2 linked regions of the Arabidopsis thaliana genome follow. The protein of the gene in region 1 interacts with the protein of each later gene in a biochemical or structural test. Each region holds a gene or a part of one and is shown in the gene's direction. Other genes may lie near its edges.

Region 1 (3,933 bases):
TTTTTATGTTAATATAACTCAATTTGATTGATTAAATATTATGCTCTTATACTAATCATTCTAGGTCCAAAACTGAATCACTCATTGCACATCATTTTTATGATTTTTATTTTGAAAATCTCATGTTTCAAGAAATATTTGTGCATTCTACTAGTAGCTTATTTTAAATAAAGTTTCGAGTTTATATAATAAACAATATGTTTATTTCTTTGATTTGTATACATTTTAAAAAAAAAAACAGGATGAAGATATATACAACTAAAGCTCAATTCAACTAGTAGGAAAATTGTATTCTACAAAAAATTTGTGTTTATGTTTTTATTATGATAACCATCCAAACTCATTATTTCACCCATGATCAAAGTAACTATATCAATATATCTGCAACAATATCTGACTCAACATTTATTTTTACATAAACTGCGGACCAACACAATTATGCTAAACTATCATCATTTATTCTATTGGTATTGGAGATCAGTCTACGTCAGTGAATACCGCATAATTCACATGAAACTAACTCCAAAACCCTTTAACCAAAAAAAAAAAAAAACTAATTACAACTCCGGTTAACCTGTCGATAATTACAAGACTGAAAACATCCTAGTCAGTAAAAAACATATTTGTATGTATCCGATCCCACCAAATAAATAAGTTGTTGTCAATGATAGAGGAAGAGAAAACGAAAAAAAATTGCGGACCAAGACATTTGGGACTACTAGAGTTTAGGGAGCATAAATGGTCCTATTTGACTTACCCTCTACCGTATAAATAAATGTATTTTAGCCGTATAAATGTATACATACGTAGATGCATAGGTATACAGGATTACTTTAGACGATTTGATGTCGGTATGACATTACATTTGACTCCCCTAGCTCCACTTGTCTCTGTTCATTTTTCTTGTATGTCATTTCCTTGTTTTCCAATTTTACGTTTACCACCCTATTTTATTTTGTTAATATTTTCTAAGTCAACGTGTTGACACTTAATTACAGAATCTGATAACTAAAGTTACATAAAATGCTCACAGTTTTTTTCAGCAAAATACTCACATTATACGACATATAAAATTTTAGCAGTCTATAAATAGTAATTATTTGGCATTAGTATTGGACAAGAAGTAGAATATAAATTAATGTTGGTTCTTTTTTCTATCCAACTTCACACAGCCAATTTTGTAGCTGACATCGTGAATGGACGACTAAACTAATCATAAGCATAGTGATTCAGTTTATACAACAACAACAAAAAGTTAATTACATTTGAGGTTTCTTTTTAAATTGCTATGTTTGGTCCCTAAATGATGGTCATAATAAGGACGGTCCGGCGGTGACGGAAACGCGTAAAGACTAATCATTTTAGTACTATTAATTTGTAGAATTATTATTAAATATGCTTGAATCCTAGAAAACGATCAAATAAATTTTGGAAAGAAGCTCAAAATGTGTTATTTAATTTTGTCCCTATGTAGAGCTGGTTTTTTTATTTTTATTTAAACATAATCCTAAGATTTATTGCTGTATGTGTGAATGCAATAATAAATAGAAACTCAATAATAGATCATTCTTATTTTCAAAAAGAAACAAGAACTACTGCAATGTTTTAATTGTTTATTTTGTATTAAATAATATAGCTTGTTAATTATTGGAGATCGCATTAAATAATAAAAGAAGTTGTCTCACATGTCTTGGAGAATATTTACTAAAAACTATGGTAATGTCTGGACGGTCAAAAAAGTCTCTCTAGTTTCTGATTCTGTTGTCACATTTTATTTTTGAAATTAAATGTCGTTAGATTATTATTATCTATATATATATATATCCCAACAGACCCATTGCTTCTCCAACCACATCTCACTCTTCACCAACTTAAACCCTAATTCAAGATCTCTTCTTTTCGTTCTCTCCTTCACCCACATTAGTCTTCTCTACGACCAAAATCTCTTGACTTTAAAAACAGAGAATGAAACAGCTTTCGACAAAAGTGACAAGCAATGGTCATGGACAAGACTCATCCTACTTCTTGGGATGGGAAGAGTACGAGAAGAATCCTTATGATGAGATCAAGAACCCTAATGGGATGATCCAGATGGGTCTAGCCGAAAACCAGCTATGTTTCGATCTAATCGAGTCATGGTTAACTAAGAACCCAGACGCGGCAAGTCTCAAGAGGAACGGTCAATCCATTTTCAGAGAGCTTGCTCTATTTCAAGACTATCATGGCATGCCTGAATTCAAAAAAGTAAGCTTCTTTCATTTTTCTCAAATTCAATAAAGAGAGTAACCTGACGTGTATCACAAGTAATGAATCCATTTCTCATGAACATTTTCTGTCATTTTTTACAGGCTATGGCTGAGTTTATGGAAGAGATAAGAGGAAACCGTGTCACGTTCGATCCAAAAAAGATTGTTTTAGCGGCTGGTTCGACATCTGCGAATGAGACTCTCATGTTTTGCCTTGCAGAGCCTGGCGATGCTTTCCTTTTGCCTACTCCTTACTATCCTGGGTAAATTACACTTCTCCTCTTTACTTGGATTCCAAGTAAACCCAATAGAAATATATGCTTACGTCTAGGCTTTTTTATGATTACAGATTTGATAGAGATCTTAAATGGAGAACCGGAGCAGAGATAGTACCCATTCACTGCTCAAGCTCTAATGGCTTCCAAATCACGGAATCAGCTCTGCAACAAGCTTACCAACAAGCCCAGAAACTTGATCTCAAAGTCAAAGGAGTTCTTGTCACGAATCCATCTAACCCACTTGGCACTGCGTTGACCAGACGTGAACTTAACCTTCTCGTTGACTTCATCACTTCCAAGAACATTCATCTCATTAGCGACGAGATCTATTCAGGCACTATGTTCGGGTTTGAACAGTTCATAAGCGTAATGGATGTCTTGAAAGACAAGAAACTCGAAGACACGGAGGTTTCAAAACGAGTCCACGTCGTTTATAGCCTTTCTAAAGATCTGGGACTTCCTGGTTTCCGTGTGGGAGCGATCTACTCCAACGACGAAATGATCGTTTCAGCAGCTACAAAAATGTCAAGTTTTGGTCTTGTTTCTTCTCAGACACAATACCTTCTCTCTGCATTGCTCTCCGACAAGAAGTTCACTAGCCAATACCTCGAAGAGAACCAGAAACGACTCAAGTCCAGACAGAGACGCCTCGTGTCTGGTCTTGAGTCTGCAGGGATTACTTGCCTGAGAAGCAACGCGGGTTTGTTCTGTTGGGTCGACATGAGACACCTTTTGGACACAAACACATTTGAAGCAGAGCTTGACCTCTGGAAAAAGATTGTTTACAACGTGAAACTAAACATATCACCCGGTTCTTCATGTCACTGCACCGAACCGGGTTGGTTTAGGGTTTGTTTCGCTAATATGAGCGAGGACACACTCGATTTGGCCTTGAAGAGGCTCAAAACTTTCGTAGAATCCACAGACTGTGGACGAATGATATCAAGAAGCAGCCATGAAAGGCTCAAGAGTTTGAGGAAGAAGACAGTCTCTAACTGGGTTTTCCGGGTTTCATGGACCGATCGTGTACCTGATGAACGATGAAATTATTCATCTCCCTAAGTTTGAGACGACGAACAAAAGAAAACTTCACGGTTTTTTCTTCTTCTTTATTTCCTTCATTTTTTATATTTTGGGAAAGTATTTTTAATTTTCCAAGATATCTATAATCATATCATTATATATGTAATATTTTTTTTAATGTTTGGGTGAGTCTTTAATTTATGCAATTTTTCGGGTGTAAAATTGTTACTATGTGTTATTATATGTTTTTAATGCACTCAATCCGAATGTGGATTTGCAGTGGCTATATATATAAATAAATATATATCCCGTTGTAATTTTAGTGAAACGTTTGTGTGTATTGTACCCATATATAAAAATGTAATTCACTCTTTTTAGTTTATATA
Region 2 (3,933 bases), on another chromosome or scaffold:
CTCCCTCCTTTTCACACCAAAATTATAACAAATGCCATTTTAGTTTTTTCTCTTTTTATATATACTTTTCTTTCTCTAAAAATTGATGTTTAATGTTTTAAAAAGCAAAATTAAGTTTATTGAATTAAATAACATGCAAAACTTTACATACATATATATATGGATAATGAGAACTGACTTATATATAGATAATTAAAGTTTATTTATGAATTCAATCAATTATAAATATATATAACTAATATATAAACTTTAATTATCTATATAATTAAAATTTTGCATGTAATTATATTAATTATCTATATACTTATATATATATATATACACTTATATATATTTGATTCTTCACCAAATACAGTACAGGTTAGTGAACTTTAATGGGATCAAATAGAAGATTTCTGAATCTGTTAGTACTAAGGCCCATCCCAAGAATGAGCCTTCCAAGCCCAATACACTGATTACTTCTTTTGTTCACATACACTGTACATACTAATTAAAAACAAAAAACAGTCCACAACAAAAACAAAAAAACAGTCCACAACAAAAAGTCATATCCCAAAAGGCACAAAGATCTTTAGTTTGGTTTAAGCTCATCCCGAGTTCAAACGAATTAAACGTACTCTAATCTAGATTAGCTCATCACGACATTTTCAATTTGAAGTTTCAACCTTTTATACGTCTGACCAGAAACACAATAAAGAAGCCTCACGCGTAGCATTTTTTTTTAACCAGAAAACCATGAGACAAATTCAACCTAATCAGATAACTGTAAATCATTTCATTCATCCTATTAAAAGCAAAGGTGAAAAGCTTTTTGTACCTCCACGACTCCCACTTAAGAGAAACATTTTGTAGAGCTTTCAAGTCACGCGTAGCAAACACACCTGGTAAGTGGTCAATCTTTTTATATCATATAGCCATCATAAGAGTATCATTAATAGTAGTTTCTTAGCATAATCTTAATAGTTCTTATGAATATTTTTATAATTGATTTTGAAAATTTTGAAGTTAAGAATTTAGTTAAGAGATTGAAATTTTGGCAATATGCAATGGTGGACTCTTAACTTGAGTTCTTAAAAAAAAAATTGGAAAAAAAGTAGAAACATTATAATTTTAAAAAACTTAATAATTATTACAACTCAAAAAATTTGAAACATACATAACATAAAATTTTAAACAAATATGACAAACAATTAGATTTAATACTTAATTTATCTAAGAATTAAGATTAATTGAATTAAAACATTATATTTAATACCTAATTTATCTAAGAATTAACCTAAGAAACATTAGATTTGGCTCTTATATAAGAGTCATTTTTAACAATTAATTGAATTATAACATTAAATTTAAGACCTACTTTATCTAAGAACTAACCTTATAAACTATGAATAATGATGGTCTAAGCGCGCTTGTTGTTGAAACTCTCAAATAAACCGGATAATTTTAAAACCAGGTTTAGTTTAGTTGGTAGATTCGGCTCAAATAGTAGTATTTTTGTGGATTTAAAGATGCTCAGCATGTATATACATATGTGTTCTATAGATGTTTTACACATTTTTTCTATTTTACTATTCTGCTTGCCATAATCATTAGATTGTTTGGTTGAACCGAAGCATAGAAACCAAACCGAACATAGCACACAGCAACAAAACCGGAATCATTCAGAGGTAAATAATTTTTTTACATTACCCGCAACTGCAAGGAAAGAGGAAAAAAAAAAAGACGCAAACTTTGAGAAAGACATCCTCATCGTTTTCTGTCCATCGAAGCTCTTTTTTTTTTTTTTTTTTTTTATCTTCGTATTCAATTCTTGAGAGGAGAGAGAGAGAGAGAAGCATCCCAGAAAACGACATTCTGTTCATATGGAGTTTTTTCACCAGATCGAGAGCACGAAGAAGATGATTACTGGGTTTTGATTTAGTCGGCGAAAAATCCGTAATCTCATTGTTCGTGATCTCTGGGTTGTTTTTCTGGATTGCTGGTGCGGCTGATTCTAGTCAGGATTGTTTTTGGGGTCCCTTTCGCTCTATTTGAATCTGCGTCTGGGTTGTTAAGATTGTACAAGGGGTTTCGTGGTTATTTATGGAACCTCGTGTGGGGAACAAGTTTCGTCTCGGCCGAAAGATCGGTAGTGGTTCGTTTGGAGAGATCTATCTCGGTTCGTCTCTCTCTCACTTTCTAGTTTTTAATTTTATGGATTATCGAATTCGTCACATTATCTCTAACATTGTTGTTAACCTGTGATTTTCCAGGTACTAATATTCATACGAATGAAGAACTGGCTATTAAGCTTGTGAGTTCTTCAGTCATCCCATTTTAATAATTTGATGATCAAAAAGTTTATGGATTTATAAGTAACATTATCACAATATGTTTAGTTTGATCAAGTTCAGTATGTTGAAAAGCTGAGATTTTGATTCTCTTTGTTTTTGTTTTCCCAGGAAAATGTGAAGACAAAACATCCACAGCTGCTCTATGAATCGAAGTTATACAGGATTCTACAAGGGGGAAGTAATGATTCTTATCTTCTGAATGAGATATTGATTTCTGATAATGTAAAGTTTGTGTTACTTATGACCTTTCTTTTGCCTTAACTTTGGTAGCTGGTGTTCCAAATGTCAAATGGTTTGGTGTTGAAGGGGACTATAATGTTTTGGTGATGGATCTACTCGGACCAAGTCTTGAAGATCTCTTCAATTTTTGTAGCAGGAAACTTTCATTGAAGTCTGTCCTCATGCTTGCTGATCAAATGGTATACTTCTTCATGTGACGCCTTTCTTTCATTTGCTCCTCTATGTTTCAGGAAATATTGACTTCTTTCTTCCTTTGGTTTTTGTGATAAGATCAACCGTGTTGAGTTTTTTCATTCAAAGTCTTTCCTTCACCGAGATCTTAAGCCAGACAACTTCCTCATGGGCCTTGGAAGGCGTGCGAACCAGGTTTATCATCTTATTGTCTTAACTATATCCTTTTGGTCTTATTTTACTTTTGGAGACATCATTGTATTGACCAAGTTTAATCCTTCTCTAAGGTATACATCATTGACTTTGGTCTTGCTAAGAAGTATAGGGATAGTACAACACATCAGCACATTCCCTACAGGTGAGGCGATCATTGTATCAGCTCTTGAATGTTCTTCCCTTGAGCATGATTCCGTTGTTATGTGATGACTGGAAACGCTAATTTTTCCCATGATTCTCATTTGCAGGGAAAATAAAAACCTGACAGGAACTGCGAGATATGCTAGTATGAACACTCACTTGGGAATTGGTAAGCTCGACAAGACCTGCTTCATGTTAATTTGTTCCAGTCACTCTCCTTATGTGTTTGAGTTATAAGGTTTGATACTCATCAGCTGTTATTTGTTTTCTGGCATTGCGAACCTGAAGAACAAAGTCGAAGGGATGATCTTGAGTCTCTTGGTTACATCCTTATGTATTTCCTCAAAGGAAGGTGAGTTTATGCTACATGCCTCACACTCTCTTCACTTTATTTCCCTAACTTCTTCAGTTTGATTGATGTGTGGAATATCTCTGTTTTAGTCTTCCATGGCAAGGACTGAAAGCTGGAACCAAAAAGCAAAAGTATGAAAGGATTAGTGAAAAGAAAGTTTCTACATCCATTGAGGTAAGTTCATTTCACAAGTATGCTACATTTTTACTCAGATTTTTGTTTCCCTCATTCTGATTCGTATATGATCGCCTTACACCTGCAGGCTTTATGTCGTGGTTACCCATCCGAATTTGCATCCTATTTCCACTACTGTCGGTCGCTTCGGTTTGATGATAAACCAGATTACGCTTATCTGAAAAGAATATTTCGAGATCTCTTTATCCGTGAAGGTTTGATATTTCCTTCCCTCTCAATTTTTAAGCCTAATATATTTTCTAACAAGATTTCATTTCCCTGTTGCAGGGTTTCAGTTTGATTACG

What was found.
Region 2: of the proteins of ACS5 (region 1) and CK1, one has a biochemical effect on the other in vitro, tested with the Arabidopsis thaliana proteins (one study listed by BioGRID).

Annotation. Positions count from the first base shown.
Region 1 is NC_003076.8:26,330,731-26,334,663, reverse strand, and holds ACS5 (ACC synthase 5), read left to right. Parts: upstream 1-1,851; 5' UTR 1,852-1,965; coding exon 1,966-2,244; intron 2,245-2,348; coding exon 2,349-2,509; intron 2,510-2,595; coding exon 2,596-3,568; 3' UTR 3,569-3,918; downstream 3,919-3,933. UniProt on the Arabidopsis thaliana protein: 1-aminocyclopropane-1-carboxylate synthase (ACS) enzymes catalyze the conversion of S-adenosyl-L-methionine (SAM) into 1-aminocyclopropane-1-carboxylate (ACC), a direct precursor of ethylene.
Region 2 is NC_003075.7:13,228,658-13,232,590, reverse strand, and holds the start of CK1 (casein kinase 1), read left to right. Parts: upstream 1-1,793; 5' UTR 1,794-2,082; coding exon 2,083-2,158; intron 2,159-2,252; coding exon 2,253-2,293; intron 2,294-2,441; coding exon 2,442-2,511; intron 2,512-2,603; coding exon 2,604-2,752; intron 2,753-2,843; coding exon 2,844-2,939; intron 2,940-3,031; coding exon 3,032-3,102; intron 3,103-3,208; coding exon 3,209-3,270; intron 3,271-3,389; coding exon 3,390-3,453; intron 3,454-3,542; coding exon 3,543-3,627; intron 3,628-3,715; coding exon 3,716-3,842; intron 3,843-3,915; coding exon 3,916-3,933. UniProt on the Arabidopsis thaliana protein: Casein kinases are operationally defined by their preferential utilization of acidic proteins such as caseins as substrates. It can phosphorylate a large number of proteins.